2 linked regions of the Drosophila melanogaster genome follow. Changing the gene in region 1 together with any one later gene gives a genetic interaction. Each region holds a gene or a part of one and is shown on either strand. Other genes may lie near its edges.

The links. Genes that interact genetically often act in the same process or in processes that back each other up.
Region 2: of Clk (region 1) and wake, changing one suppresses a phenotype caused by changing the other (phenotypic suppression), as found in Drosophila melanogaster (one study listed by BioGRID).

What each region holds. Positions count from the first base shown.
Region 1 is NT_037436.4:7,772,603-7,777,346, reverse strand, and holds the start of Clk (clock), read left to right. Parts: upstream 1-1,743; 5' UTR 1,744-1,851; intron 1,852-4,744. UniProt on the Drosophila melanogaster protein: Circadian regulator that acts as a transcription factor and generates a rhythmic output with a period of about 24 hours. Oscillates in antiphase to the cycling observed for period (PER) and timeless (TIM).
Region 2 is NT_033777.3:22,637,989-22,642,854, forward strand, and holds the start of wake (wide awake), read left to right. Parts: upstream 1-1,819; 5' UTR 1,820-1,922; intron 1,923-4,866. Other genes in the region: loco (locomotion defects), read right to left, coding at 1-951.

The DNA.
Region 1 (4,744 bases):
CGCATACTCATTTTGTTTATTCTTTTTAATCGTTCAAACTCTCCCTATAAAGCAAATCAATTTTAAAAACAAAAATTTGCTTTATCAGTCGGCACATCTTTGTCTTTGTAAATATCTTTTTACGGATAATCCATAAATTATATGTACATTTTCTACGCTAGTTATAGAACACGAATTTAATTTTCAGCTCAACACAAAATAAATAAATAAATCAACATTTTTTGTCAACAAAATATTTATGTAATTTTATACAAAATATACACGAACGTCTAAATTAAATCATCGTGTATTTACGTTTAGACACTAAATACAATACAATCCCAAAATTTGACATTATTTTTGTGTCTACTTTATATGAAGAAATTATTACATAATTCTATATGAAACAAAAAAAAATTTATAATATTTCTAAAATTCTTAAGATCAAATCAACAACATATTTTCTCTGTGTTTTTTGTGCTAAATTTTTTTTACTGGTACTTCTTAATTTAATAATGATGTAAAATAAAGAGGAAAACAATTAAAATATAAAATAAATGTGGAACATAACTATGGTTTTTCTTTTAACTTATAAAAGTGGTTGATAAAAAAAACTATTGAGTTTCAGTTTGACAACAAAGTAGTTCTGACTACACCTCTGCATTGCTGAATAGCTACATATATACATCCTGTGCGTTGCATAAACCTATAAAACTTTCAAATCAAATCGAGAAAATCTTGTAAATTGCAAATCGAGTGCTGAAATGTTACGTAAGCATCTAATAAATATCGAATTTCTGGTGCAAGCGGTTCGCGATTAGGCAATCATGGAATAAGAATCAGAATTATTAGTTTTCTGTGCTACCTTTGCAGAAAGTGAGGTCGTAGTGCTAGATTCGGAGCTGAATTCCAATTGAATTGATTTTGAAGATAAAATACGACAAAGGAATCAAAGGTAAGGGTCGTGGTTCACTATTGAATTCATACTAAAACTACTTTATATATGAAATATTTATTGAAATATGAGTTTGCATTAAAAAGCTAATGCCGTAGTGCTTTGGAAATTATTTGTGTGGATTAACAAAAGCTGAAATGACAGTTTGGAAGTTCTTTTATCACTTTCCATACTATAAGACAATTTAATTAGTAAAAGTTTACATTAAATTAAATGATTAAATATTAAAACAGTTTGTTTAGTTTTAACTTTAAATTATGTTTAACTTCTCTTATTATTTCAAATTATATTTCAGTTCGCCTCACGTTGCATGAAATGCACATATGATCTGTTAATGTAAGTTTATAGACATGAAGCAGTATAGATAGATCAAAAGATAGTTAGGGTATGTTGCACCACCTACCTAGTTTCAGTCTATGCCGACCTATAGTCAAAAACTCACCCCTGCCACAGACCTTGAACTTAAGTCGCGGACAAACAAAACCCGTTGAATCACCCCTGCGAGACCCCCGAGAGACCCTTATATCTGTAATCTCCAGACGGAATGCCAGAAACACGCGGAATATTGGACAACAAACAGAAAGGTTGAAAGAAAACTATATAGAAAAGCTATACTATCCGATCCGAGAGAGACCCTCTGAGCAGAGTGGCTCTGAGCGTGCTGATAGTTTGATAGAGCGATAGATAAAGACTCAACTCAGGTTCACGATCGGTGCAATTGAGTGATATGGCGGATTCTGAGTGTGGAGAGCATATTAAATAATAGCCGAGTGGCGGTGCTCAATCAGTCAGTCAGTCAGGTAGAGCTGGGAATGCTTGCACATATCGCGTATACGCCCCGGCCGGCAAAAGGCATTACAACAGACTTGTAGACCGACTGACTCTCCCGACCGATTCGGTTTCGTATCTTTGTATCGGTGAGAACGCTTCTGGGGACTCGCTGCTCACATTTCGATGCATTTCGCGGTTTTTCGTTTATCCACGGGCTTTTTGCGTTTGTAGTTTTTATTTTCGCCAGCTTAGAACTTGCAATTCTCGTGCATTTATTCAGTTTGAGTCCAGCAAGCGCAGCGTCAACGAGCGGATCTCTCTCTTTAATTTTCCGATTCGGGTTTTCGATTTATTCGCATTTTCTCCGGGTTTTTTTTTTGAGCGCGCAGTTATTGTTTTATATCGCAAGTACTTGGCCGATCTGAAGCAAAGTCAAGCCGTCTGCCGTTGATATTGTCTCTGCCTGTAACTCGATCGCATATTACACACTTTTCGCCTTTTCGGTTCTGTTTCGGATTTGAAGGGGAATAATATTTTTGTTTGTCTCCGTCTTTGCGCTTAATTAAATTGCAGCTTTCTTCCTTGTTTCTGCTGATATTGCCAAAAAAGTTTTTTGTTTTACCTTTTACCATAAAAGAAATTAAAGTGTTTTTGTTATTGGATATCGTTTTCTATATATTGGCGTATATATGTCACCAAGTGCAGAAGTATAAAAAAAAAAACGCGCAAAGCAGAACGGGAAAAGTTATTATGTAACTTTTAAAACACTCGTGCCATAAAAACAGGAACAAATGTGGAATAATTCTTGAAGAAACAAAGTGAAAGGCAGAGGAAAAAACAAAAGTGGATAAGCCGCCAAAGGCAATATATGGATAAAAATAAATAGTTTAAATAATAATGGGCGTTTTTAAAAAGCCAAATAAAAAAGTGTAGTTATATGTCAGTGATGTTGCAATAAAACACAAATACAAGTTTTCACAAGTTAAAAATTGATCTTAGTTAAATACTAAAGTAGTAAAGTTTTATTTAATTGAACAAGTGCATCCAAACTAATGTAGCTAAGATTCAATTTCGAAGTAAATTAACTACTTTACCTGCTAATTACCAAAGTTTTGCGCCAGATTCAAAAGATTAAATTACAAATCAGCTGCGGCAAAATTGTGAAGTGTGCAAAGCAAAAGTGGAGGAAAAAAATAAAAATAATAAAAGCAAAAGTGCATTAGGTAGAACATCCGCAGTGACAAAAATAACAGAAGAAAAATGCCGCGCCAAAAAAGATAAGGCAAACCCAAGGATGAGATACGAGCGAATACGAGTGAAGATACTTCTCGCTTAAAACAAAAGTGCATTCAACCAAAAAAAAATTGAAAACAAACTACCTGTGAGAGCGATTTTTCCACATACATATAATAAAAACTATAATTTTTTTAAAATGTCTTTAGATTTGGAAAGGTATTTTAATAATGTACTCTTTATTCGAATTTTGAATGGAGTTGTGTCGTTTGTTTACTCTAAAAGTTGGATTTCGTACCCAATATTAAAATAAATATAAAAATTAAAAAATATTTTTAGATATTGGTTTTAGTTTCATTCAGCAAGATTGATTGGATATTTTACGCAGTACACTATTTTCATTCCGGTGAATTCAAGATAAATAATATTGTTTGTAAGTTTTGCTTAATTACAAGAATTTCCAGTGGCTGAAACTAGCTAGGTAATTTGCTAGTCGCTTTGCAATCCAACTATTTCCATTTGTTTTATTTAAATTTTTTTTTTTTTGTTTTTTTTATTGTTGGCTGACAAGTCTCAGGTCTCGGATGTGGCGTCTTTTTGAGTTTTTGAAACGTCATCGTCAGCGTTTGACTGCCCCGAGTATCTGTGTGCGCCAGTCTATCTGTGTGCGTGTGTTCTGCTGCAATGGTGTGAGTACGCGTGTGCATTTGTGCAGTGGTGTGCGATCATGCGGTAGTCGCACACGCTCTCAGTAAAACTTATTTCAATTGACAACTAAAAAAACTATAGGCACATGCAAAAAGGTTTTAAACATTACAAGTGATACAACTTCGATTCTTGTTTTTGCATTTAGTCGAATAAATGGGGCACAATTACGAAACGCTACTTAATTTAATCTGCAGTCAGCTGCACTTTCTGGCCATTTTCGCTCTGGCTTGCAGAGCGTATACTTCATTTTCACTTAGAGCAAATATGGCTAGTTGTTGATACGGTGAGATAAGCAACTGATTGACAACTACTCCAGATCTATTTTTTTTTTTTTTTAACAATATTGAGGTAGTTGGAAACAAAGAACGAAAACTTAAGGAAAGCCTCTGGGTCGTTTTTTAATTAAAAGAACTTATAGAAAAATGCACTTAAATTTCTAATGACTAAAAGTTAGACACCCTTCATTTATATCAAAAGGAATAACCTAAAGAGAGCAAAACTTTGGACTGAATAAGTTTAACCTAATGAATTTTGTAATGGTATAGTGAGTTTTTGTCCACTTAAATGAAATCAAGTTAGTTTTTAATTAGTCGGAATTTAATCGATACTAAATAGAATTCATTTAAAATTTCCCCCTTAACGAAAATATTATTCAATTTCAATCTAAACATATTAAATCATTATAAAGATCGATTTATGTGATGAACTGATGATTTTAAGCAGACTGCTAATGATTCAGATACGTCAATTTATTATTAGATTGTTAAACGTTTAGGGAAAGGAAAATCCAAGATCCGTTTAGGGTTCTGTTTATAGAACAACAACTCCATGCTGGAAAACCACATAGAAGTATACCCCTTGAACACTATTAACGATGAACTCGGAATTGGTAGATTGTAATTAAATCCCGTCTCGGTAAAATAAGGGGGAACGAACGCCGACGAAATAAATCAATGAATGACTAGAGGTAAAAATAAAATAATAGTGAACAATTTAATTAAGTCAAGTTTAAGACAACAAACGCTAGAGCGCGACGAAAAGTATTACAAGTTTTGCGGAAAGAGAAATAGAAGGCGAGGAAGCAAAGTTGTACAACGG
Region 2 (4,866 bases), on another chromosome or scaffold:
CGAGGAGTAGGTGGCCAGCACTCCGCCGCTGGAACTCTGCAGGCTCAAGCTGTCCGGCGTGATGCACATCAGCACAATGGTGGGCTGTCGCTTCTCCTGTCTCAGTTTTCGAATGCAAGATCGAACTGTCTGCAGCTTGGAACTATGCGAGATCTGCTTGGGCATCTCGATGGTTCCCAGATAGCCAACAATAACACGGCACTCCAGTGCAGCACTGCCCACAGCTCGCACCATGGCACTTACATTGGCCACATCCGCTGCTTTGGATAGATTGGCTGTCAGAGGCGGATCCTCCAGAACGGGTTTTAATGTAGGGTGATCGGGTGATGACTTTGATTTGTGCGGTTCCACTGCCTCTGGTGGGTTTAGCTTCTTTTGTGGCGAGTTGCGCAATCTGTGCAGTTTGGCTTTGTGGTGTAGAAACCTGGGCTTGTGCCTCAAACTGGCTGCCAACAATTGACCCCTCAGCGTGGCATGGGCGTTCTCCTCATCCGAGCTGTCGGAATAATAATTCTCGGCGATCTGCATGCGAATACTGCCAAAGGAGTTGCCAATGAGCTGCACCACTGTTTCGTGTGGCAACTTGGAGACATTTAGACCGTTGACCGATATGAGGAAGTCACCGGAACGCAGGCCAGCTTGCTCGGCAGGTGAGCTGCTGATGATGCAAGACAGCCGACATGGTTGCTGCCCGGAAATGGTGAAACCGAAGCCATTGTAACCACGTCGCACTTCCACGGTGCGGATGCCATTGTAGTTGTAGTTGGCTCGCTTCTTGCGACGTCGCTGATGCTGCTGGCTGTTGGATCCCGAAGGCGTGGTTGAGGTGCTTATGGGGGCGGGCCCACTATTCGCAGCAGGTGATGCATCCTCCGCTGCAGCTGCTCCCGTTCCCACGGCTGTGGAGCCACTTGCTCCGGTTATGGGCAAAGGCGGATGATGGTGGTGCATGGCGCTTACTGTGTGGAGAAAACGAATGATGAGGAGTACTGGCCAATCTTAACCCACATCTGGACATTTGTACGCACCTTTCTCATGGATGGAAGCTGCAACCTGGATTTCTGGAAATGGAATGCGGTTTCTGTTGCGCCCCTTTTTGGATGATGCCCCCTCTCGCTCGCACCCGTGCGTCGCCTATGCCAACTATGTAATCAATGGCACACACACATGCGCACCAATGGCCAGGCGTATTTTGTTACACTTTTCTAGGCCTCTAATTAATTGATAACTAACTCTTCTTTGGGTGCTACCTCATATTCACGCGGTTAATAACATCGTTGTAACTTTATCAGGCATATTTGTAGCAATTAATTGTGTGTAAATCGGTAATTAAAATTATGTCTACAATGCGCAAGCGTAACTATGATTAGAGATGGAACACACTAAAATGTTTACTCGATACTATCGATATTACATACCTTTTGTGAAACATCGATCACTTTGACACACCATATTTTTAGTAATTACTGTTAAAGTTTTGCAGAATGTCAACAATTTTTAACAAGCAGTTCTAGAGAAAATTTGATTTGTTCAAATATTGAAGGCATTGACCATTGATAGAAAAACGATATTTACAAATTTGAATTAGATAAAAACAGGGCTGCCAGACTCATTGAAATTTATGAAGCAATCGTTGCCACACTGGGCTGACCTTCGTTGCATAGCAACGAACTTTTGTCACATCCCACTGCCGTCAGTTACTTTTCGATTTAAATAAAAGCTCCGAACGCTCGTCCTTTAAAGTCCTTCCGGTGAGCTTACATCTGCGTAGCGTGTTATTTGTGTTTGGCCCACGCCGTTTCAGTTACATTGGGACTTTCAAACGCATTGGTTGAACGCGCGCACCCAGAACCGCTGTTGAATTAGTTTTTGAACCCGAAAACAGCAGTTAAATTGCTCGAGTGAAATGTAAAATGTTATTGGTAAACGGATCGAAGTGTTCGAAGTTCTAACGCTGAAATGTTTAAGGATTATCCGTAGCAAGACCTGCAGAAGTGACCCCAGTCAGCCAGTGTTGAACCAATTGAAATGTTGGCAAGGACATTACGGACAAAGAATAGAAAGCCAATAGAAAGCAATGGGGGTGGGATGTTGCGGAAACGGAAGTGCCAAATTGAAATGCCATTTAAGCCAGGCGAGCGATTTGCCCGTCTTCGTTTACGGCTCATCCGGATTCGTCTGCGTCTGGTCAGGGCACTCAGATTTCTTGCGGGGAATGGATTCGAGAGCGCGGCAAGTGCGATCCCCAGACGACACTTGGCGTCGCTCTTGACATTGATTATATTCATGAGACCAAGTCATAAATTCCAGCCCGACTGTTTACGAGGATTCTAACACCAATCCGCTGTCCCCGATTCCCGGTCTCTGCCCAAAGATGTGGCCAAGTTGCGACTGGAGTGCCAATAAAATCATTAACTGTTGCAGCGCATTAAATTCATGGCCCAGACGATGCTGCCGCGCTATTCAGGCAGCAAACATTGTCATAAAACCTCGGCCCATTCACGCCATATTTCATTTCATCTCCTCATCTCCATCTACCTCACATCCATCTACCTCACATCCTAATTGCCGAAGGTCCTGAGTCCCGTGGGCGTGTGAAAAACTATTAAAAGGCCGTTGGGCCGTGCATCGTGGGCCCATAATTAATGGCGACAATGACTTGATCGGCCGATAATTAATTTATCGTCATTTATATTGCCAAACTGACTCGACGCGCACATACTATATATGTGCTATATACATGGTTACCAAAACGGTTGGCGATCCCATGGGAGCTCGTAAATTGTCCAGAAGTCTAGTTCCTACTTCACTTTAATTTCTTGGCTAGCGAAAGTTTTCTTTTCAACTAAGCCCAAGTAAGTTTCAGTTGGTTCTATTGTATTATTTTGGCACATGCTTCATTCCTGCTCGCCTCTCACATAGTTTTGGCCACAAATTAGTTTGGCAGTGGATTTTGTTAGCCACTAGGAGATGCCGAGCATTTTGCATTCCCATACCAACCGACTTTTCGCCTGTTTTGTCCAACTATTTTGCTGCTGAAAGTTGGCAGGAAAAGTTTCTCAATTGCGACGAAGAAATCAATTGGAAATGATTGAAACCTAATTTCCCAAATGGACTGAATACATAAATCAATAAATTATGTCCCCTCGAAGATGGGAATCGACGGAAGCACCTCAGTCATTACCGAAAGTTTAATGTATTTAAGGGTTAATAATATCGATCGAACTGATTTTTGATTGATGAATGTCCTGTGAATTTATTAATGTCACCATTGTTTGCTAAGTGTTTTGTTATTTGATTATAATTGGGGCTCATGAAAGCATTTCATTGGATCGTATATTAAAGAATATTATTAATATACAGTAATAAAATGGAAAACTTTGATTGAATTTTTTCCATATATGTACAAAAGTGTCAAAGTTCACTGCTCGCATTCATGTTTGTGTGTGCTCAAATGGTAAATCTGACCAATGTCATCAATATTTCAACAAAAAAGTAAATATTTTCGCTTCACTGAATCGCAGTGAACCGTAAAGAGCAGTAAAACTATGCTGATAGCAAGCTTTGTGTCTATGACATCCAGCTGCACCTGATGAAAATCCGCCATTCTATCCGCTTAGGGATTTAATTCGTAAACGTCTCACTGGAAAATTAATAGGAAAATACGCAATTTTCACTGGAATGCCAACTTTCACCCCTGACATCTTAGAATATACTCTTTTTTTTTTTTGTGGCATTATCATACCCACACTTTTTGTGGGTCCTAAGTCGCCGTCCTTGTCGCGATTTCGGAAATTGTTTTTACCCACATTTCATTTGTTTCCCAAACTTTCTGCATTGCGCGAGCGCCAAAAAAGCAAAAAATTGACACAATTTAAACTTTTCTATAAACAAAAGCAATGCAGGGCAGCCAAACAGAAAAGGTTAGCCAAACGAGCCATTTGTTCGCGCTGCTGTTTACTTCCTTTTTGCCCCAAATTTTTCCCCTTTTTAGCTGTCGTGGTTATTTTTTCGTATACTCCAGTTTATTACAGAACTCACAGAAATTAATGCTGCTGGGGTTTCTGGAGGGGTTTTTTTTTTTTTTTTGGCTTTTGTTCAAATTTGTCAAAAGGAAAAGGCTGACCGAAAACGTTTGCTTCGTCCTTTATTTTTCCGCTTTTGGTTTCTCAATTTCGTTTAAATTGCGCACATTTGAAACAATTTGCCAACAGCAAGCGCCCACACATGCATTTTTTTTTTTTAACAGCAGAATGCATTCTGCGGCTTGGCAGAGATTTATGCAGGCATTTCATAAAGCTGACAACATGGCGTATGATTAATATCGCTGCCTGTTCCCTGAATTGCTATTATGCTGCATTTAATTAAATCTGCAAGCGATGATTAAGTGCTTAATTTTACAGGCAAGAACCAAGTACTTACAAATACTTACCTATACATATATATACATATATATATATATAACATTGCTATTTCTGGGCGCCCGGCTTCTTGACAACTAAGATTAATTGGTATTGCCACTAAAAATATAAACAAGGAGTTCTGATATTATACCAAGTGCCGGACAAGGACGTTGTTGTATATACTATATGTGGCATGCTCTCAATAAATTTAAGCATTTCATGACAATGACGTTGCAGGCGATGCGTTCCGAGAATTCCGACTATACGTGTGCATATTGCATATGGCTGTGTTTGGCCTGGCTGACATTTCTTGGCCTTTTTTGCCCTGGCATATGTGCGAAAATGCCAACGTTCATTGCAATGCAATTAATGAAGATTGCTGCAGCTGACGCGCACTTTGCATGAATACAATGTGATGTATGTAAAAATGCCTTTGGCTTATTTTTGGCAATCTAATTTGCAA